Linked DNA regions of Arabidopsis thaliana. The protein of the gene in region 1 interacts with the protein of each later gene in a pairwise test. Each region holds a gene or a part of one and is shown in the gene's direction. Other genes may lie near its edges.

Region 1 (4,809 bases):
CGAACGTGGAGCCCAATTCGCAACCCGACCCGCCGAAACTCCGACCCGGAAAATCTTCAGTTCTAGCGATATCACCGTTCATTCCGCTATGTACGGTCCCGTGTGGCGATCACTGAGACGGAACATGGTTCAAAACATGCTCTGCTCTAACCGGTTAAAGGAATTTGGTTCAATTAGAAAATCCGCCATTGATAAGCTCGTGGAGAAGATCAAATCTGAAGCTAAGGAAAACGACGGGCTCGTCTGGGTTCTAAGAAACGCTAGATTCGCTGCTTTTTGTATCTTGTTAGATATGTGTTTCGGAGTTAAAATGGAAGAAGAATCGATTGAGAAGATGGATCAGATGATGACGGAGATTTTAACCGCCGTTGATCCACGAATTCACGACTATCTTCCGATTCTAACTCCGTTTTACTTCAAGGAGAGGAAAAATTCTCTGGAACTTCGCCGGAAACTTGTCCAATTCGTCGTTGGATTCATCGAGAAACGACGATTAGCGATTCGAAATCTCGGCTCCGATAAAACGGCGTCGTCTTTCGCGTATCTTGATACTTTATTCGATCTCAGAGTTGATGGTCGTGAAACGTCACCGTCAGATGAAGATCTCGTGACGCTGTGTTCAGAGTTTCTCAACGCCGGTACGGATACGACGGGGACGGCGATAGAGTGGGGAATCGCGGAGCTGATATCGAATCCGAAGATTCAATCTCGGCTGTACGATGAGATTAAATCAACGGTGGGAGATGATCGAACGGTTGAGGAGAAAGATTTGAATAAAATGGTCTTTTTACAAGCTTTTGTTAAGGAGCTTCTCCGGAGACATCCACCGACGTATTTCACGTTAACTCACGGCGTTACGGAGCCGACTAATCTCGCGGGTTACGATATTCCCGTCGGGGCTAATGTTGAGTTTTATCTTCCCGGTATAAGTGAAGACCCGAAGATATGGTCTAAACCGGAGAAATTTGATCCGGACCGGTTTATAACAGGTGGAGAAGACGCCGATTTAACCGGAGTCGCCGGAGTTAAAATGATGCCGTTCGGAATTGGCCGTCGGATTTGTCCGGGGCTTGGAATGGCGGTCGTACACGTGGAGCTAATGCTGTCGAGGATGGTTCAAGAGTTTGAGTGGAGCTCGTACCCGCCGGAGAGCCAAGTGGATTTCACCGGCAAATTGGTGTTCGCGGTGGTGATGAAGAATCCGTTGAGAGCGAGGGTTAAAGCTAGGGTTTAAGTTTCGTTGATTCCACGTCTTTGATTCTTTTAACTTGACCAAACCCGGTTCAAGAGAGAAAATTCGCATTTTGTCTAATTTGCTTTGGTTTAATTAAATGTTTTCCTACTCTTCAATTACTAAATAGAGCCATGCATATTCGATTTACGTTTGTTTTAGTTGGTTTGCATTATTGCATGTCTTCAAATTAAGCTAGTATAAACTAATAATTTAGATGGTTTGACTAAACCAAATAACTGTTTATTACTGAACCAAATTTTCGATTAAATCACTCTTTCAGAAAAGGAAATTTCTTTGACAAAGGAAAAGGAAACATATACTTATTGGATTAATTAGTGATTAGTAGATTATCACGAAAAGGAAATAGAATCGATGGTTTAACTGAACCAGCCATGGTTAGTTTCAGGTGCTTTTCGAGTTAAGTTTTCAAAAAAGGAAATCGATTGTACTTAGTTTGGTTCGTCTCAGGCGGTTTAAGAGTCATTACTTTCAAAAAAGGAAAATAATTATACTTAGTTCGTTTAATCACTGATTAGCTAATTGTCAGAAAAAGGAAATATAGTCGATTGATTAGAAACGAGTAACAACACAGAGTCTATATATACACGATTAGAAACAGAGAGTAGCCATATCATATTCTTTCGCAACAGGCTAACACAAAAATCTCTCTGTCTTTTTCTCCTTCTCTTTCTTTGTCTGTGAAATCGTGAACACAGAATGGGGGGCGTGAAGAGAAAGATTTCTATAGAGCTGATAGAGAAGAAAGATTCAAGAGCTGTTGCTTTCTCAAAACGCAGTAGGGGTCTATATAGCAAAGCCTCTGATCTTTGTCTTCTCTCCGATGCACAAATTGCGATCATAGCCACTCCGGTCTCTTCCAAATCAAACGTTTCTTTCTACACCTTTGGCCATTCCTCTGTTGATAACGTTGTAGCCGCTTTCCTCACGAATCAGCGTCCTCGGGAAGGTCTAGGGTTAGACTATTGGTGGGAAGATGAGAGGCTTTCAAAATCAGAGGACCTGGAGGAACTGAGAGACGCAATGGACTCGATGTCGAAGATGTTGAAAGATCTGAAGGATTTGCAGAATCAACGAGATTGTGAGGAGGACGTGAAGAAGAAGGGTGTTTTACACGGAACTCATCAAAAGCAAACCTTTAATCCTGAATCATGTTCTGTGAATTTCGATGGGTTTAACAAGAACACTGAAGAATTTGATCTTGATGAAATATTTGATTATGTGTCAACAGCTGAAGCTCTATCGATGAACTTGGACATGGACGATGTCTCTGTGGTGACCACGAATCAAAACCCCGTCTCTGCTTCTGAAACTGTTGAAGATAGAGAATTGGTTGTTCACAAAAATATGGATGAGGACAATATCCACGTGTCTGATATGGACGACAAGGATACGATGCTAATGATTTCTGACAAGAACAATGTTTTACCTGAAAACTTGGATGAATTCGATCAAGAGCTAGATCTTGATCAGCTACTTGATTTTGAGACAAACTATGAAAGCCTTTTGAAGAGTTGTGAGATGGAGGATTATGCCTCGATGGTGACTACAAAGCAAAATCTGTGCTCAAATCCTGAAGCTGTTGAAGATGGAGGATTAATGATTCAAAAAGATTTACCGGAGGATAATCTCTGCTTTTCTGATTATTTCAGTGACTTACATTGCTGATATTTGAAACTCCCTCCAAGATAACAGATGTTTCAAGGATTGCTTCGGTTTATTTTCGTTAGAGATACTTTACTCAAGGAAGGTTCCGGTTTGACTTCAATCAATTTTCCATGCTTCATTGGATTTCTGGGATGTTGATCTAACTCAAACCGGTTCAGTTTTGGTTTGCCTTAACTAATGAAGAAACCATCCTTTTTTCTTTTAAGTTTTGTAGTCTTTTCTATCAACTTGTCTTGTTTTATATGTGTGATGTTTTCTTCTTATATTAAAAGTTTAAAACCAATGAGTCTTACTACTCTTTTTTTCTTGTATCAACTTGTGTCTTGTTTAACTGTGGGATGTTTTCTAATCTAACCAACAAATAATATTAAAACCAATATTGAGTCTTACAACAGAAAACATCTGTCTGACAATCTTTGATTAGGAATGTCTCTGCTTTCTTATTAAGTACCAAAACCAGTCATCATCTAGGCCAGTATTTTGTGATTACTTCATAACTTGAAAACAGATAAAGCTTTACCAAAATAGAGCAGAATGGCTCCATAACAAATTGCAGAAGAACCGGTGCTAATTGATTCCATTCAAAACGTGATGCAGAGAAGTGTTTATATGGCGGGGAAAGTTTGGGAAAAAACACCTTGTAATTGGTTCAAATGCAATGTAGGGGGAGCTTGGGTGTTAAGAAATGAGTTGGGTGGTTTTACTTCACAGTCGCCGGGCGATATTTAGTATAAGAAGTGTAGAGGATGCAAAGCTAAGAGTTTTGCTTTGGTCTATTGAAAGCATGTCAAGTCACAAAGTCATGAGAGTTTTTTTTTGCTTGCCAAGAAAAAGGATTGGTAGAAGCAGTTAATAGGCCGCAGGCTTGGCCCCTCTTTTAAAGCTCAATCTTTTGCTTTAAAGAGTTTTTTGTTTAGTTCCAGGTGTGGAAGATGATGGTTTTGGAAACTTTTGGTGCAAACAGGGGAGCAAATCTTATTGCTAAAAGTGTGACAGGAGATCTGAGACTGCAGTCGTATGTGGCAATGGGTCCTCCAAGCTGCCTGGTAAGAGTTTTTGAGGAAGAAAGGACTTGCATCTCTGTTTGTTAATGCAGTTTCGTTTCATGGGCTAAAGTTCTTTTTGTGAACTGATATTTGCAGTCCGTTGTTGAGTTTGTTTAGTGTAGGGAGTTTGTTTTGTCTCCTGTAGTTTAGACCCTCACTTTTTTGTAGCTATATGGCTTTATCAGTGTATAAAAGCCAGATGATGAGAAAAAGAAAAAAAAATTGCAGAAGAACCCTTAATTTATGACATATATAATACCACTCATGAAGAACAGTTGAAATTTCTGACAAGTAAATTGAATTCCAACCAAGTCAAACACGTTTATTCGAGTTTCTTTTTTGTTTTTTCTCAAAGTATAATAAGATGTTGAATTCTGATTAGCTGAAAGATGACACGATTTTATTCATTGTTTTTGGGTCTACCAAAATTGGAAAGTGAGTAAATAAATGGCTTTCTGCGACATTTGGCTTTCCCATGTTACTAATTTATTAAAGGAACAGTTGAACGCAATAAATAAAAACAAAGACATGCACTGATCACACAATTCCTAGACTCCCAAATTATCATTCTAACAGGTAAATTTCACGGTGATATGTTAAATATGTAGCCTGTAGGTCCAAATACAACAACTACTTTTTTTGTTTTTTTTCTATTTTCATTATACATCCTTATTGTTATCTAATTAGTAATTATCAGCATTAAAGATCTGGGACACTCCTGTTTAAAGCTTTCATCGACTATTTGCCTATTAGTTGTAACAATCAGCCTATGGTTATAGGTGAATCTAGACTCATATAATCAATTCTGACTTAAACCTTGTTTGAAAGTAAAGAGTGTTTCTA
Region 2 (6,519 bases), on another chromosome or scaffold:
AAGAGTTTAAAACAATAATATATTCATTTAAATGTAATATATACAAGATCTGAAAAAGTACTTCCCAAAAGAAAGAAAATCTTATGATGGTTGTTATCGGTTAAACTTTGAATATAATACAACAAAGAGAAGATAGACGATAAAAAGAAGTGGCACAAAAAGCATAATGTTTGGAATGATGTAAAGAAATTTCTGATTTAGATGAACGTATTCGTTACAAGACACACATAAAGATTTTTTTTTTTTTTTTTTTTTGAATCTAATATTAAATTATATTCAAAAGAAAAATAAACATTTATACATATACATGTAAACTTGTTTCGAAAATTTCAAAGAACTCTAATATGTTCTTCTTGATCCAAACCACACTTGGATTCCATTCACATACTTCACTTATTAAGATTTACCATTTGGGAATACGAGCATGTCGGTAGAAGAGAGGCTAGGTAGAATGAAATAAATGTAGATTTATGTTTTTTTAATGATTTTTTAAAGGTTTTTTCATGTATTTTTCTTTTATTTTTTTTAAAAAGTTTTGATTTGGAATTATCGAAAGATTTATGAACAAAATTTTAGCTTATATTTTCTTAAAAAGACTTTAAAATAGTAGAAAAGCTTGAAATAAAAAAATAAAAAATGGTCAAAAGTTTTGTTGGATTTTGTTTAGATTACCATATCATTTGTTATAAAATTTCATTCAATAATAGAAAACCAAATGACATCACGTATCGTTGAATATACACTTCTACGTATTTAACAAAATGATTAATGATTCACTTTCAATGAACCCAAATGTTTTTTAAAATCCGATAAAACTTTAAACCTAAGATATAAACTTTAGAAAAAGACTTATGAAATATAAACCCAAACTAACCCATAACACCACCTAAAATATTCTGATTAGAAAAAGACTTATGGGTGGGGACATCAATGTAAACTTTCATAATTTGCAGAAATCTTACAAAATTTACTCGAGGCATTTATTACAAAATATGGTTCCGCCTCTGCGCATACACTATACATAAAATTGGAAAAAAAAGTTTTAACGGATAATATGATTTAATGTCGTTACACATCCCAATGCAACGGATCGAAATAGAATGCATGTGTTTATTCATTTCATTTCGTATATGATATCGTAAGGGAGTTCATATACTCACTAACAAGACAAAACATTTCTTGACCAAAAGAAAAAAAAGATTTCTTGAATAAACATTTTGTTACTATAATGGCGATAGTCATAGGTTTACTTGAAATCTTCACAGCATTTGTTTTCTTCATTTTCTTCCAATGTTTATTACTCCACAAGAAAACTCCCAAGCCTTTGCTCACGAACTGGCCGGCCCTTGGGATGCTTCCGGGTCTACTCCTCCAAGTGCCTCGTATCTACGACTGGATCACCGAGGTTCTTGAGGCGACAGATATGACGTTTTGTTTCAAAGGTCCATGTCTTAGCGGAATGGACATCTTGCTTACTGTTGATCCGGTGAATATCCACTACATTCTAAGCTCAAATTTTGCTAACTACCCCAAAGGAATGGAGTTCAAGAAGATCTTCGAAGTCGTGGGTGATTCAATTTTCAACGTTGACTCGGGTTTGTGGGAGGATATGAGGAACTCGTCTCATGCCATTTTTAGTAATCAAGATTTCCAAATGTTCTGGGTGAGTACAAGTGTAAGAAAATTAAGGCAAGGGCTTGTTCCTATTCTTGAAAACGCAGCTGATAAAAATATCCTTGTCGACTTGCAAGATTTGTTCCAGAGATTCTTGTTTGATACATCTTTGATTTTGATGACCGGGTATGATCCAAAATGTTTATCCGTTGAAATGCCTAAGGTTGAGTTCGGTGACGCGGTCGATGGTGTTTCTGACGGGGTTTTCTATAGACATGTTAAGCCGGTTTTCTTGTGGAGGCTCCAATATTTGATTGGTGTAGGAGTAGAGAAAAGATTGAAAAGAGGTCTAGCGGTATTCGATCAACTACTCGAGAAGATCATAACGGCTAAACGAGAGGAGATCAATAGTCATGGGACTCATCATCCCTCAAGAGGAGAGGCCATAGACGTGTTGACATACTACATGACTATGGACACGACCAAATATAAGTACTTGGAACCAAGTGATGATAGATTCATCAAAGACACTATTTTGGGTTTCTTGATAGCGGCAAGAGATACAACAAGTTCAGCACTCACTTGGTTCTTCTGGCTTATGTCCAAGAACCCTGAGGCAATAAACAAGATCCGACAAGAGGTTAACAAGAAGATGCCGAGGTTTGATCCCGCAGATTTAGAAAAGCTCGTGTATCTACACGGTGCCGTGTGTGAGACGCTAAGGTTATACCCACCAGTTCCATTTAACCACAAGTCACCGGCAAAGCCAGACGTACTTCCAAGTGGGCATAGAGTAGATGAGAAATGGAAGATTGTCATATCTATGTATGCATTAGGGAGGATGAAATCTGTTTGGGGAGATGACGCAGAAGATTTCAGACCAGAGAGATGGATTTCAGACAGTGGAAGGTTAAAACATGAACCTTCATATAAGTTCTTGGCGTTTAACGCCGGTCCAAGAGCTTGCTTGGGGAAAAAGTTAACGTTCTTACAGATGAAGACAGTGGCTGCGGAAATCATACGAAACTATGACATCAAGGTCGTTGAAGGGCACAAAACCGAACCAGTTCCTTCTGTTCTTTTTCGTATGCAACATGGTCTCAAAGTTAATATCACTAGGATCTAGTGATAGTTTTTGTATTTTTTTTGCTGTTAAAGATTTCAATAAAACATGCATGTTTACTCATGCTTAGACTTATTTTGCAAACACGTCTTTAATTTGTATCAGTCATTTGCCTTATAAGAGTCTCTATTTCATAATAACATCACGGTTTTACAATAGCATGTGCTCACATTTTGTGGTCTTTAGAATCTGATGTTTAGTTACTAATATTTTTTTTGGCAGCTATGGTTTGTATTATTGGACCCTTCCCCACAGTTATAACACCCAAAATCGATAACACACATAATAGCATGTGTCTTAACGAAACAAAAAAAATAAAATAACATTACTTTCACTGTTTAGCCATAACATTACTTTCTATCCAACTGATATTACATGTATTTTAAATTATTTATTAATTATGTTTATATAAACTATTAACATATAGAAAAAATTTAGAGATTGAAGAAATATCTTAAATTACCTTTGATGTAATTTGTTTTCCTTTCAATGGACTTCCTAAATAAAGTATAAATCTCATTAGATATGTGATACAACTGTTTTCCTATATATCTTGTTTTTATATATGCCCCCCAAAAGGTAAAATATCTATATGGGCTGTCTCTAAAGATAAATGATTATCACTTTACCATCAATCACATGCCTACACGTAAGGGTGAAACTAATACAAATCCTGAAAAATTAGTAAAATAAAAAATCAATTAATCATATCCAGCAAAGCAATAAAAAATCTATTGACTCGAAAATTGACTATATAAACCATCCTCCTCATGCTAACAAGACAAAGCAAAATACACAAAAGAAAAAGATAAGAGATATGAGGGGGAAGATGAAGTTATCGTTCATAGAAAATGATTCAGTGAGGAAAACAACATTCACCAAAAGGAAGAAAGGGATGCTGAAGAAATTCAACGAGCTAGTAACTCTATGTGGTGTTGACGCATGTGCGGTCATCCGTAGCCCGTACAACTCGATCCAGGAGCCTTGGCCATCAAGGGAAGGCGTTGAAGAAGTGATGTCGAAGTTTATGGAGTTTTCGGTGTTGGACCGGACCAAGAAGATGGTGGATCAAGAGACGTTTTTACGTCAAAGGATCGCCAAAGAAACAGAACGTCTCCAGAAGCTACGTGATGAGAACCGTAATTCTCAGATTCGAGATTTAATGTTTGGTTGTCTCAAAGGAGAGGTGGACGTGTCTCATCTTCATGGAAGAGATCTTCTTGATTTGAATGTATTTCTTAACAAGTATCTCAATGGTGTTATTCGTAGGGTTGAGATCCTTAAGGAGAACGGTGAGTCTTCTTCATCTGTACCTCCTCCTATTGGTGTAGCTCCTACTGTTGTGGATGCATCTGTCCCAATCGGTTTTGATGGTCGTATGATTCAAGATCAAAACCAAAATCAGCAAGAGCCGGTTCAATTCCAATACCAGGCTCTTTATGATTTTTATGATCAGATTCCAAAGAAACTTCATGATTTTAACATGAAAATGAATATAGATCCAAATCAGAGTATGAATTTGGATCTTAATGATGGAGAGGACGAGGGCATTCCTTGCATGGACAACAACAACTACCACCCCGAAATCGATTGTCTCGCTACCGTCACCACTGCCCCCACTGATGTTTGTGCTCCTAACATCATCAATGATCTCTAGTCGAAGGGATGTATTTCGAGTGAAGTGGTTGATCATCTGCATCTTTTGATTTTTCCATTTCAGAAAATAAAATTTATGTGATGTTTTTTTTTATTATTGTACTACAGTTAAAGGTTTTGCCTTTAAGTTCATTTCCGTTGATGTATTTGCCTGAAAAGGTTTAGTTCAATTTGAATAATTTTAATCATTACAAAATAAAGAGTTTTCAGTATCTTTAGAAGAAACAAATCTTTAGATATGATGTCATTAAAAACCCTATAATATCTAAAATAGCTTTGATTAAGTCAACTTTCTTTGTTTTGCCTATATATATGCTATGGCTATGTCATGTTTTCGTCTTACTTATATTTGAACTAAAATGATTATGAATGTTATTGCCATATTTTTGTTGGATTCAAATGTTGATCACAAAAAAGAAAGGATTTCAATTTTGTGTACCATGCTATTTCAAGATGTTTCTAGCAAATTCTCAACTACGTAGTTTAGGTGACCACTTGTGAGACCTTTGCATACTTTGGCACACATAATTTTCTAATGCATACCTCATCTATGAGTCGAGAAGACGTCCCATGGGAATAAAAAAATCGAAGACAAAAGTACATATATAGTGCTGACCATTGTGGATCTCCTGATGTACATACTCAGCCGTAATTGGTTTTAACTTCAGTAGCTTCTGCCACGTTTTGGAACCTAGAGTAGAATCCTTACCATCCTAACAGATAATATATTGTCGGAACCGCCCATAATAAACCCCCACGAAGTTAGTAGTTTCCAAATTAAGCTTAAGCTAAACAACCGTGACACATGAATACGTTGGAAATGAAGCCCTCATTCCTTTTTAGGAATACACGCTTCTTTCAACATATTGGCACGCTTGTGGAAAAAAACATAGAATAGTAGAAAACCTAGCAAGATACGGCCATAAAAGAAATTAAGGAATCTTAAAAATCTCTTCTTTCACATTGTTTCCACACTTCCCCTGCTTTGTTGTTTCAGAATTGAGACACGTTGTACAAGATTTTTGGATCAAAAGACTCGCAAATATAGTTAAGTTTATTTATGACACCTAAATTCTAGTCCAACAAGAATTTGCGTGATCGCAAATTTTGATAAATTTGTGTGCTTGTATTATCTATTTTATCCAACGGAAAAAGATTCTTGATAAATAATATCTATCGTTTTCGAAAAACTTTGTTTTTCATCACTGAGTTTTTAACATCGAATGCATTAATTTCATGGAATGCTTTTTTATCCCAACATGATAGAATTGTAATTTATTACTTTGTCAAAGTTTTGGAACGTTAGACTTTGCCATTCATCCCAAGCAAGTGGGAGGGTGATATCTCGTTGGTGATCAAAAGGATCTTTTAAGGATTTCCAAAGTTCTTTAAGATCTCGCATGTGTGCATAGTCATATAATACACTTTTATCGAATTGTCTTTTAAGGAAGATTCGATTTTACTTTTTCTTGGGCCATCGAAGTATCATACTCTTTTAAGGTCTCCGTTATCTCAAGAGACTCCAAACGTAACTTAACATTGATGGTCTAAGATATGTAGTAAGTCTGAGTAATGTATAAGACTGTAAATCGAAGCTTCTCGATATTAGTCATTTCATTTCTAATATAAAATCATGGAGAACGTTATTAGAAATTTGATATTTTATTTTATAGCATGGAAGGTACTTGTATAAGCAATACAATTACATTTTAAAAAGTATAATAATAACCATCAAAACGTTTTAGGAAAAATACTCTCCAAAGAGTAAACCGTAAATTAAAACAAATATAAAATCTCTTATAAAAACTAAAAACCGATGAGTCAGTTTTTGAGAGAGAATATTTTTTGGAAAAAATGAGATATTTGAGTGAGAGGAATTAATGAAAAATAAGTGTATATATAGATGAAAATTATTGTTATTAGCGGTTAAGTAACCGTTTGAAAAGTAAAAACAAATATTAAAGCATGGGTAGTTAAATTTGTCTGACTGTTGAGATTTAAAAGATAAATGAAATCTTAGTTCAAAAACAAATAATCAAGAAGATATATTAGTTTATATAGGTGGCTGAGCCTCCTTTAATAATAATGATAATATAGACGATAATATGATTATGATATGGTGACTA
Region 3 (6,363 bases), on another chromosome or scaffold:
TGACTTAAAACCTTTCAAAAAAATATTTTTGCTTATATAATCAAGTGAGTTATTGGTAAAGTGTATCTTTATTTTGAAAAAAAAACTCATTATTTTGAAAATAAATTATGGTTCTCTTTACAAAGAAATGATCAAAGTTTGGTGGACATATATATGTCAATCATAAGAGAGTCACAAACTGAGAATGGAGTTTAAACTAAAGAGCTACAATATTATCCACAATTTAAAACATTTTATTAAAATCACGATAACTTCAAAAAGAGAAAATCAAAAATTAACTTTGTTAAAAAGGTGGGTATGAAAAATACAATTTTCTTATTTCCTAACAAAAACAAAAATAGAAACAAAGGAAATGTGATATAAGAAGATTAAAAGAGACGTTATGTCTCACCTATATTTGCTCTCTCCTCTTCCTTGTCCAATTCTACTGTCCCAATCCATCAGTTTTATATGGCAAACTCTCCCGCTGCTCCTGCACCCACCACCACAACCGGTGGTGACTCCCGGCGACGCCTCTCCGCGTCCATGTAAGTGTATAGTATAATACTCTCTAAGTAATGATTAAAAAAATCTGAACAAAATCGTCTAATTGTGGCTTTGTGTGTGTTTAAGCAGAGAAGCAATATGCAAGAGGAGATTCCGGAGAAATAGCAAAGGAGGTGGCAGATCGGATATGGTGAAACCGTTTAATATCATAAATTTTTCGACACAAGACAAAAACAGTAGTTGTTGTTGTTTCACCAAGTTTCAGATCGTGAAGCTTCTCTTGTTTATCCTTCTCTCTGCCACTCTCTTCACCATTATCTATTCTCCTGAAGCTTATCATCATTCTCTTTCCCACTCATCTTCTCGGTAAATCTATTTCTTTTTTCCATCACCAACATTTACATTCTTGACCTCAAAAATGTTCACATGCAAATTTTTACTTTTGCCTCTATCTCTTATAATACTATCTTAAAATTATGAAATTAGATGGATATGGAGAAGACAAGATCCACGTTACTTCTCGGATCTGGATATAAACTGGGACGATGTGACTAAAACCCTTGAGAACATCGAAGAAGGCCGTACGATCGGTGTCTTGAATTTTGATTCGAACGAGATCCAACGATGGAGAGAAGTATCCAAGAGCAAGGACAATGGGGATGAAGAAAAAGTTGTTGTATTGAATCTAGATTACGCAGACAAGAATGTGACTTGGGACGCACTATATCCAGAGTGGATCGATGAGGAGCAAGAAACAGAGGTCCCTGTTTGTCCTAATATCCCGAACATTAAGGTACCTACAAGAAGACTCGATCTGATCGTCGTGAAACTTCCTTGTCGGAAAGAAGGGAATTGGTCGAGAGACGTCGGGAGATTGCATCTACAGCTAGCGGCTGCAACTGTGGCGGCTTCGGCCAAAGGGTTTTTCAGGGGACATGTGTTTTTTGTATCTAGATGCTTTCCGATTCCGAATCTTTTCCGGTGTAAAGATCTTGTGTCTCGGAGAGGCGATGTTTGGTTGTACAAACCTAATCTTGATACCTTGAGAGACAAGCTTCAGCTGCCTGTAGGGTCTTGTGAGCTATCTCTTCCTCTTGGCATCCAAGGTAGAATAAAAATGACTCCCGAAATTACTTGTTTAGATTTGAAAACAAATTTGAAAAATCGTCGCTAAGTTAACTAGTGTCTGTTTTCTTCCATGAATTTTACAGATAGGCCAAGCTTAGGAAACCCTAAAAGAGAAGCTTACGCAACAATTCTTCACTCAGCTCACGTTTACGTCTGCGGTGCAATCGCCGCGGCTCAGAGCATAAGACAGTCTGGTTCGACGAGAGACCTTGTTATCCTTGTTGATGACAACATCAGCGGTTACCACCGGAGTGGACTAGAAGCCGCGGGTTGGCAAATCCGGACGATACAGAGGATTCGAAACCCTAAGGCAGAGAAAGATGCTTACAACGAATGGAACTACAGCAAGTTCCGGCTATGGCAGCTGACTGATTACGACAAAATCATTTTCATCGACGCGGATCTCTTAATCTTGAGAAACATCGATTTCTTGTTCTCGATGCCTGAGATCTCAGCTACAGGAAACAATGGAACTCTGTTTAATTCAGGAGTTATGGTGATCGAGCCTTGCAACTGTACGTTTCAGCTTCTGATGGAACATATAAACGAGATTGAGTCTTATAACGGTGGAGATCAAGGTTACTTAAACGAGGTATTCACATGGTGGCACCGGATTCCAAAACATATGAATTTCTTGAAGCATTTTTGGATTGGCGATGAAGATGACGCGAAACGCAAGAAAACAGAGCTTTTTGGAGCAGAGCCTCCTGTTCTTTATGTTCTTCATTACCTTGGGATGAAGCCGTGGTTATGTTACCGTGACTACGACTGTAACTTCAACTCCGACATATTCGTTGAGTTTGCTACCGATATCGCTCATCGAAAATGGTGGATGGTCCACGACGCCATGCCACAGGTGATTCACTCTCTCCTAAAAACCTTAATAGAACTCAAAAATCACATAATATTTTCAATCTCATATTGTGATCAATATTCAAAATATTATTAGGCGTTTAGTCATGCGTTGAGAGACTAACTGCATAGCATTATTTCTTTCTCAAAAATTTCCAAAACTTGAAAAAATAAATAAACTAAAAATTACTTACTACCCAAGTTTAGAATAACCATATGAAATTTGAATATACGAAAATCTTGGTGGGTTAGTAAATGCAGAATTAGCCCCCTACGCAGTAGGCATCAAGTTTTAATGTCTATGTTTTATACACCTTATAAAAAAATCATTTCAAATTTTCTTTCTTTATGATTAGTTTAAAAAAACATTGGTTGGCAGAAATATAAAAATAGTTAGACGTTTTCCCAAATTATTCTAAAATTGTGACGGTTAGTAATTACCATATATGATATTTTGCAGGAACTTCACCAATTCTGTTACTTGCGATCCAAGCAAAAGGCACAGCTGGAATATGATCGCCGGCAAGCAGAGGCCGCAAATTATGCCGACGGTCATTGGAAAATAAGAGTAAAGGACCCGAGATTCAAAATTTGCATCGACAAATTATGTAATTGGAAAAGTATGCTGCGGCATTGGGGCGAATCAAATTGGACTGACTACGAGTCTTTTGTTCCCACCCCACCAGCCATTACCGTAGACCGGAGATCATCACTTCCCGGCCATAACTTGTGACGCAATAATTATACATACTTATTAATGGATTTCATGAGTTTTTTGGTTTGAATTGTTGCTGCGAGATTAGGTGAATATCAGTTGTGTAACTATATCTTTTTCCTATAGTTTGTTCAAATTGAATAAAACATTTTTTTGCAGTTTAACCACAAAATAAAACATATGTCGTATTTATATGCCATTTTTGTATACAAACACAAACTCAAAAATGTTAGTAACATTCAAATAGTTTATACAGAAACGATAGATTATAGACTTACATATAGCCAAACAACACAAATTAATTGATGTAACTAAACATATGTAGTATAATTAAACTTTCGAAAAATCCAAATTTTTAGTCGAATCGCAGTGTAGTATGTATACATTACGTATAGTATATAAATCTATGTGTGTGTATATCAGTGTATGTATTTGTGTATGTATGTACATGTGAAAAGAATCTCTACTAAAGATTTCCATAATATTCAACCAAAAACCAAAGTTTTCCTTATTAGTAAAACTACACCTTCGTTAAACATATAAATTGATTCTATGAGAAAAAAGTATATTAAAAAAGGCAATGAAATCTTCACCGCTTTCATTATTGATTCGTCATTAATTACCGAGCGAGACCAAAAATAGAAATTCTCGAACTAAGGGTTTTATATATTCGCAAACAATGATCACCACCTCTTCATTCAATTCACAGAGAATATACACAACCATGGCTTCTTCTTCGTCCTCTTCTCTTTCGTTTTCAACATCGAAGAAGAACAAAACCTTTTTCAAGAAACCTAATTCTGCTTTTTCTTCTTCGAGGGCCACAAGTTTGATCAAAAGACAACAGACTGTCTTTAAGAAAGCTAAAGAGCTTTCAATTCTCTGTGACATCGATGTCTGCGTCATCTGTTACGGATCAAACGGAGAGCTTAAGACATGGCCTGAAGAGAGAGAGAAGGTCAAAGCCATAGCTCGAAGGTACGGTGAATTAAGCGAGACGAAGCGTCGCAAAGGAAGCGTTGATCTTCACGAGTTCCTCGAGAAGATGAACAAGGATGATCCCGAGAAGGAGGAGAAGAAGAAGATTAAAGTGAGACGTGTACCCAAAGTCAAGTATCCAGTTTGGGACCCTAGGTTTGACAATTACTCTGTGGAGCAACTCATGGGACTGGTTCAGTCCTTGGAACGAAACCTAACCAGGATCCAACATAGGACTTGCGCTGTTGTTGAAGCTCAGGGGCAGAGGAGGGTACAGTACACGAACATGGCTAATCAAGAACTGATGATGGCTAATACGATGAATCAACTTCAACAACACTCAAACCAGGTTTCCATGTATCTGTGGAACCATGGAAACGGTGCTTTCTCACAAATCCCAGTCTCAGCATTGGCTTCAAACCAAACGCAATCTCTAGCTCCGATTCCGCCTGAACTGATGATTTACCCGAATTCGGATGCGGGAAATTACTCGGGGTCTCTCGGGGTACAAGGAACTGGGATCAATGGGCTTCAGAACATGAACATGTTAACCTATAACAACATCAACAGCGTTAATGATTTCTCAAAACAGTTTGACCAGAATTCCAGAGCGGAAAGTTACTCTAGCTTACTTGGGGTACACGAAGACGGAAACAATGAGTTTGAGAACCCTAACATGTCCAGCCGCAACAACTTCAATGTTCAAGACTGTGCAGGGTTACTTGGGATGCAAGGAGCTGGAACTAACGGGTTGCAGAGCATGAACATGCATGACTACAGTAACAACAACAGCATTAACTCTAATGGTCTTTCGCATCAGTATGTTCAATTTCCAACGTACAACAGCCAACATCAGGACCGGGTTTTCAATTTGGATCAAAACGGAAACAATACTAGGTCTCTCTAAGATCTATCACAATCTCTCTTATAGCTTCATAATTTTTGGTTTTTAATATCTCCTAGTTATATAACTAAGAAGCATATATATTTATAACTTTTGGTTAGTGCAATTATCAGTTTGAGACAGTATATCGATCTCCAAGTTTTCGATTATGTCTACTTTTATTTATTAGTGTAATGTGACTAAAAGACTAATAATGTCTCCCATGCTAGTGACTCTTTTCTTATACTACTTCTTTTTTTTGTTATCCTGAGATTCTTTTGTTTGTTATATTTATTGCTGAGAATTAAGACTAGTAATGTCTCCCATGTTAGTGACACTTTTCCTATACTTCCTCTTTTGTTATTCTGAGATTTTTTTTGGTTTGTTATACTTATTGCCGAGAATTTGATTATACGATTAATGTTTGATGAATAAAAAAACCCTAGGCAAGCTTTTAAGTTTTAAGACGGGTAAAGTAAAACACAATCAGAAATTACTTAAGCTAAAAAAATACTTTAGCAGCTCTCTCCAATCATATGTCCTCGCATTAAAAAGGGAAAAAGGTCAAAGAAATGAAAAATAGAAAAAAGTACAAAAGATCCAACTGGACAATAAAGTGTTGTGTTCGGCTTATTTAAGAAATAATCAACGGGTGAGATTAAAAGGATTTTAGTCAACGGTTGGATTTAAACTGAAGAGTACTTACCTTCAAGTGGGACCTATTAACCACACAGAAGCAAAACCTAAGCGAAAGAATTGTATTTTTTTTTTTTTTTGTGTGCGAGTCTTTTAATTTACTTCTCCGAAAAAAAAACCATAGAACCTAGAACTTGGAAAATTTGAAGAACCAGAGCTAAACAAACTCGTTGTCGTTCTACTTTCTTTCGAAACCCTAGAAGAAGAAGAAGCTTGGTCTTAGGGTTTAGTGATGAAGAGCTCTATTCGAATTCAAGTGAGTTCTGTCTATCTTCTTGTCTACTTCTCAATTTTAGGGTTATATAATTTTATCTATTAAACTCTAATTAGGTTCAATTTAGTTTGACTTTTTTTTTCCCTTTTACTCAATTTAGGTTCTATTTGGGTTTATGTGAGACATTGTGTGGTTTTATTTCCAGGAAGAATTGGTACCAGTTTTAGTTTCGGGTTAATTCTTCTCATTGTTTATCTCTACTTCCATGATTGGTCTTCTTCACTTATGATCTCAAAGATCAATCTTTTCAATTGCTCTTGGATTCTGAGTTTAATGGATAACAAGATTTGCTATGAATGGTTTCACACTACTGTTGGAAGATCTATAGAATGAGCAATATTGCTCGTTGAG
Region 4 (6,385 bases), about 22 Mb from region 1:
AACAACATGTTTTACGCTCGCAAATGTGGAAATTCGCACAGTCGAACATTTTCAGTTGCCTCGGATATGCAAGTTGAGGTTTCAGAGATTGGTTCACCTCCTACAACAGTTGATTGGCTTGATGACTGGTCTACTGGTGGTGAATCTTACATTTATGATACAGATATTGACAGAGAAATCGTCCGCGATGAAGAATCACGTAAGAGGATGTCTCATCAATATGAATCAAGAAGTGGAATAGGATCAAAAGAGGAGAATAGTGAGCCAAGTACTAAACCTGAGGCCAAACCAGATCAGGATTGTGTGGTAGATGAAGACCTTATAACAGTTGATGATATGTCATTGTTAGATAGAAGAACCCAAAGTGAAGAGATTTTTGAGCAGACACCTTCTAGTTCCAGTGATGTGTCCAAGCCTACAAGTTCTGGGAGATTTGAAGGTATGTTGTTCCATACAAGTGCCTCATTGTCGTCTATAACAGAAGAACCTGAAACAATCTTGGATTCGATCGATGGCGTCAACTCGGAGATTATGAATAGTTTGACTGGAGAATTAACTGACCAGAGACCTCTGACTAGTCTTGATTTATCCATGGAGAATTTGATAGATGAAGAAGTTGCTGATATGCAACAAATAGAAAATGATGATCTTTGTGGATCTCCTAAGATTATTGATTTTGATATCATTGATCATCAGCAGACAGATCAAACGTCGGATAGCATTCAAGGAGAACATGAGGAAACTAAGAGCTTCTTGGATGCTTCTTTGGACACACCCTTTATAGAATCATTTGAGAGAGAGGTACAAGAAGAAGAAGAATCAAACTTAGACAAGTCTACTGAGGAAACAACAAAAGAAACAGAAAGTGATTTGAAGAGTTCTCCGGGACAAGTTTCTACAGAATTACTAGAAAGTGTGGTAAGGGAAGAGAATGGTCAGGAATTAGTCAAAAGTGCTGATGAGAAAGCAATGCTAGTAGAGGAAGAGAAGACTCATAATGTCTTGGAAGCATCTTCGAGCAATGCTCATACACAGTTGGTTGATTTAGACTATGGAAACGCAGAAAATTCTAGTGATGTGATACTTCTGCAAGTCCAAGATAGTCATAAGTCACCACTAGATGAGTCAGTTGATCAGGAGATCTCTAAGGAAGTAGAAAAAACAGAGTTATTAAAAGATTTTTGTGGTGAATCAACCCAAGAATACAAAAATAGAGGAAATGTTGAGGCCTGTGGAAACGCAGAAAATGCTAGTGATGTGTTACTTCTGCAAGTCCAAGATGGTAATAACTCACCACTAGATGAGTCAACTGATCAGGAGATTTCTAAGGAAGAAGAAAAAACAGAGGTATTGAAAGATTTTAATGATGAAACGCCCCAAGGATACAAAAATAGAGCCAATGTTGAGGAAGAATCAGTAGTTTTAGCTGACACTCAAAACTCACAAGATTCACAAACATGGACTCAACAGGTTTCACCTTCTATTCTAATCATCTTTGACATTTTAGACAAATCTGACTCCACCAATGATTCACTGAATATGTGATTATCCATAACCATTTACTAAGATAATAAATTTTACTAGCTTCTTCCTCTGTTGTTGGTTCTTGATTTGAAGTTTTAGTAATTGCTTTTGACACTTTTGTTTTTATTGAATAGTGTGGTATAGATTCTTCCCAAGGGATATCACCAAGAACATTGGAGATCACCCAGCAACTAGAGCAAGACGATGTTATTGCCTCTTCCTCAAACACCGTCTCTCAAGATATCAATAAAGATATTACCGCGGCAGTAGCCAATGACTTAGCTGCTAGTGAGAGGAATGATGAAGTGATTCTGAAACTTGATGAGCAAGTTGGAGAAGCTATGGAAAAGGAACTAGAGCTTAATTTAGAATCACTGCACCATAATATTGGTTTAGTCGGTAGAGAAGACGATGAAGAATCCAAGAAAGTAATAGAGGAAATGCAAAATGCGGAGATCCAAACAACAAAACACGAAAACAGAGTCTTAGGTTAGTCGTAATTCAAAAATGGAGAAGAAAGCATAGATGATCAGAAAAGTGTTTGATATTCCTATGTTATAACCAAATGCTTACTATTTTGCAGAAAATTAACACATTGATGATACTAACACACAGAATCATGATGACGAAAACAAGTAACGCTGCACATAAGGTACGGTACGCCACAAGGAAAATGTGTTAAGAATTCTTTTTGATCCATAACAGGTGAAACATTGTGTTGTATCATTATTTAATGGACTTTTTGTTTAATTATACAACTTGTAAAGGCAACTCATTCTTTTGTAATATACTGTATAGAGATGGATAAATCTTTTGAATATATACTCACAGAAGAACTACTAGCATTCATTTCTCTTCTTTTCTTCTTTGTTTTAATGTTAAGATTATATTAGCGAAACATATTACAACCTAAAGCTACCCATATCCATAAAAAACGAATCGAATCGAGAAAGTTTTTCGGCATACAACGGATAAGTAGTACAACAACGGCCCTAAGAGCTGCCGGCGTTAAAGGTGACTATTATATAACAAGATTACAATAAGTGTATAAATATTAAACCGTCTAACTAATAAGGAAAGAAATAAATTTAACTGTGTTTAACATTTTTGTCTTTCTTGGTAAGCATCTTCAAGTTAGTATATTTTCCCTTTTGGCAAACTAAATATTCCCAATTTAATTCTTCTTTCCTAAACTTTCATGATCATTTAAATGTTCATATCTCGTGATCTTTGACAACCTTCCATAAACACAAACCTAATCAAGCTCAATATATAAAATCTCGCATATATTAGCTTGATTCACCCTTATTCCGACAGAAGCTCCAAAAAATCGGTTTTGGTATAAAATCTCATTGAAACTTTTGCTTTGATATTCAAGTAAGGATACTATCTTTTCCATAAACAATTTCTACATTTGTTCATTAATTCTGCTCTGGCTCTAAGGTATTTCATGTTTCATTTGTTCTGTTGTGGGATTGATTTCGTTTTGAGGGTGTCGAGAATTAGCTAGCTCCTACTTCTCGGATTTTGACTATTGGCTTTGCGTTTTCTCATTTATTCGTGAGTGTAATTTTAAAATTCTTTCGCTCTATCCTATGGTTTGTGTGGGGATTGAGGCAGCATAGAAAAAACGCCTTTAATTTGGGTTGTTTTGATCATAATTTGAGTGTTTATAGACCAACTATTCACAAAACGCCTATAAACAAAGTATTTTACAAAACATATCAATTCAATTTATTTGTACTTTTGTTTTTGGGAAAAAGGTTTATATGTTTATATGTTTTTTTTTGTAATATATAACAATAACTCAGGTTACAAAGGATGGTTCCGAAAGTGGTCGACCTACAAAGGATAGCGAACGATAAGACAAGGATAACAACTTACAAGAAGAGGAAAGCTAGTCTTTACAAGAAGGCACAAGAGTTCTCAACTCTCTGCGGCGTCGAGACATGTCTCATCGTCTACGGTCCCACGAAGGCTACCGATGTGGTGATTTCCGAGCCAGAGATATGGCCGAAGGACGAGACCAAAGTCAGGGCCATCATACGCAAGTACAAAGACACAGTGTCGACCAGCTGCAGGAAAGAAACCAACGTGGAGACTTTCGTCAACGATGTAGGGAAAGGAAACGAGGTGGTGACTAAAAAGAGAGTGAAGCGTGAGAATAAGTATTCTAGTTGGGAGGAGAAGCTAGACAAGTGTTCACGAGAGCAACTACATGGGATTTTCTGTGCCGTGGATAGCAAGTTAAATGAAGCTGTAACGAGACAGGAGCGTAGTATGTTTAGGGTTAATCATCAAGCCATGGACACACCATTCCCGCAGAATTTAATGGACCAACAATTCATGCCACAGTATTTTCATGAGCAGCCACAGTTTCAAGGCTTCCCTAATAATTTCAATAATATGGGTTTCTCGTTGATTTCACCTCATGATGGTCAGATTCAAATGGACCCAAATCTCATGGAGAAGTGGACCGACTTGGCTTTGACTCAAAGCTTGATGATGTCAAAGGGAAACGATGGTACTCAATTCATGCAGAGGCAAGAACAACCATACTATAATCGTGAACAGGTTGTATCGAGGTCTGCAGGTTTCAATGTTAACCCGTTTATGGGATATCAAGTCCCGTTTAATATTCCTAATTGGAGATTATCGGGAAATCAAGTTGAAAATTGGGAGCTTTCAGGGAAGAAAACGATATGATTTGAATTACGGAGCTTTATTAGTTTTTAGGGTTTTATAGTTTTGTTTCTGTTGGGGTTTTTAATTTTTTTTTGTGTATGATGGCTTGACATGCAAAAGTCAAGTGTTTTTTTTTTGACATAACATCATCTTTTTACATTTTATACAAGTTTCGGTTATACGTAAAGTTTTCTTTAAACACTCAGAAAATAATGTACCACTTATTTTATTATATTATCCTTGGTTTTTATATGATCATCTCCCAAATTGTCCCAAAAAACAAAATCTATAAGAACTAGTTAAGATGAATTAATTAATCATTTTACTTTCCGTGTCGAGTTTTAATTGGGATGGTAAGACATTGACAACCCTAACCACTAGACTATAAATCTTGCAACTGAGTAATTTATTTTTGTAAAAGCTTTTTTAAAAGAAAATATCTTTTTTAATCTTTGTTGATTATTCAATTACTTGATAGCTTTTGTTCATTGTTTTAAAAGCTAATTAATAATTTGTACCTTTTTGTTGATTGAATTCCAAAATTCTTTGGTTATACCAAAAAAACAAAATACGTATAGTGTCTACTGTCCTACAGACTATCTATAGCGTGTCTAGAAAAAGGAAAAAATAAAAGAAAAAATTAAGGACTATAAAGTTTAATTAGTTGCACTGTTCTCAAACATTGTCCGTTGTTATAACTTCAAGTGGTTGTTGAAAGAATAGTTTGGTTGATTGAGACGAACAACGAATAATGCCATATTGTGATCTATACATTATTCAAACATTACACGACAAATATTGGATATTTAAGTTAGAGATGGCCAACTTTGTGTCTTTGAACCTTTTTCCCTGCAACTTGTATTACAAACATATTTTTTTAATTTTTTCCCTCAACAACTAACACTGCACAATATCGGATTTAATATTTTTTTTATGCATCATACTATATAATATGATAATGCTGATATGAATTAGACTATTGTTGTGTTTCTCAAAAGGGGTTATTCACAACCACCATTTGCATATTTGGCACTGTTTAGGATTTGTTTAAGCACTTCTTACATCTGCTAATTCGATCGGGTTTGTCTATCGTACACAACACATATGATGATGTTTTGTTAGGTTTAGTCTCGGTTTACGCTTCAAGCATGTTCATGAATCTTAAACCGCTGATGAACTTGTGTGTATTAGATGTGAAGCTGTGACAGCCCATTTCGTATCGGTGGTCCAGAAGTGAAGTGGATGAGTAGTTGGAGTTATGTTGTATATATGCGTATAACGTAAGCTGTTAAAGACGATATAATTTGGCTTCACTTGTATATCGTTTTAATTTGGCATCACCTATCTTTCATTTTGTCACACCACTTGTTAATTTGCAACTTGCAACCATTTGAAACTTAACTAACAATTTTACTCAAAGATAACTTAGGCACTGTCAAGAGACTTTTATTAACTATTTCAATTTGGAATTAAAACAATGGACGTTTATTATACAATTGCCAAATATGATTGTTTCGTCCATATGAAAAATTAAGAATTTAACTTACACTTTTTAATTAGAGAGATGGATCTTCATTAGCTATAGTTGAAACATTGTGTTTTGGGCGTCATAGCAAGAATCTGCATTGTTATACCCTCCAATCATAACCTGGCCGTATGAATGAACGCCACTAATAGCGTTTCCAATCGTTATATTGAAAGCGTCTGCCTGTGTTCCATTGTTGTCCGTTTGGTTCCAAGGAAACGCGGTTAGCCTTGAACGCTGATCTCCAACAACAATGGAGCTCTTATTGGTCTCCAAAGAAGCCTCCTCTTCGAGATTTACGGTGGTTATGTCGTGAATGCTTGCTCGTCTCTTGTCCTTGCCGCCGGAAAGTTGCCGGATGAAGTACTTTTGGGCGTGGCTAGCTACTTGTGTTGGCGTTCGCGTTATCACAAAGTTCCGAGATATGTTTCTCCAATCTCCTTTCCCATATTTCTTCAAACCCATTAGAAATAGCCTGAATTGTGACAAATATGGAATCAAATATATCTACATACAATCTTGACCCAAATAAATTGTTCTTTGTAGGTTTGATGCGTTATATATGTGATTAGGCAAGATTTTGCAGCTAAACAGTGTTGCATAAATCATACTACGATTATGCAATGCATTTGTTCAAACAAATTAGAAATA

The links.
Region 2: the proteins of AGL99 (region 1) and PHE1 interact in a two-hybrid assay, tested with the Arabidopsis thaliana proteins (one large-scale study listed by BioGRID).
Region 3: the proteins of AGL99 (region 1) and AGL103 interact in a two-hybrid assay, tested with the Arabidopsis thaliana proteins (one large-scale study listed by BioGRID).
Region 4: the proteins of AGL99 (region 1) and AGL82 interact in a two-hybrid assay, tested with the Arabidopsis thaliana proteins (one large-scale study listed by BioGRID).

What each region holds. Positions count from the first base shown.
Region 1 is NC_003076.8:1,330,874-1,335,682, forward strand, and holds AGL99 (AGAMOUS-like 99), read left to right. Parts: upstream 1-1,885; 5' UTR 1,886-1,951; coding exon 1,952-2,920; 3' UTR 2,921-3,049; downstream 3,050-4,809. Other genes in the region: CYP77A9 (cytochrome P450, family 77, subfamily A, polypeptide 9), read left to right, coding at 1-1,234.
Region 2 is NC_003070.9:24,264,356-24,270,874, reverse strand, and holds PHE1 (MADS-box transcription factor family protein), read left to right. Parts: upstream 1-3,538; 5' UTR 3,539-3,554; coding exon 3,555-4,394; 3' UTR 4,395-4,618; downstream 4,619-6,519. Other genes in the region: CYP96A3 (cytochrome P450, family 96, subfamily A, polypeptide 3), read left to right, coding at 1,229-2,740. UniProt on the Arabidopsis thaliana protein: Probable transcription factor involved in the development of gametophytes and seeds.
Region 3 is NC_003074.8:6,416,047-6,422,409, reverse strand, and holds AGL103 (AGAMOUS-like 103), read left to right. Parts: upstream 1-3,905; coding exon 3,906-5,066; downstream 5,067-6,363. Other genes in the region: PGSIP1 (plant glycogenin-like starch initiation protein 1), read left to right, coding at 451-527, 616-852, 973-1,592, 1,698-2,470, 2,927-3,199. UniProt on the Arabidopsis thaliana protein: Probable transcription factor that may function in the maintenance of the proper function of the central cell in pollen tube attraction.
Region 4 is NC_003076.8:23,777,487-23,783,871, forward strand, and holds AGL82 (AGAMOUS-like 82), read left to right. Parts: upstream 1-3,345; coding exon 3,346-4,230; downstream 4,231-6,385. Other genes in the region: AT5G58880 (LRR protein), read left to right, coding at 1-1,470, 1,659-2,013, 2,108-2,115; AT5G58900 (Homeodomain-like transcriptional regulator), read right to left, coding at 5,789-6,209. UniProt on the Arabidopsis thaliana protein: Probable transcription factor that may function in the maintenance of the proper function of the central cell in pollen tube attraction.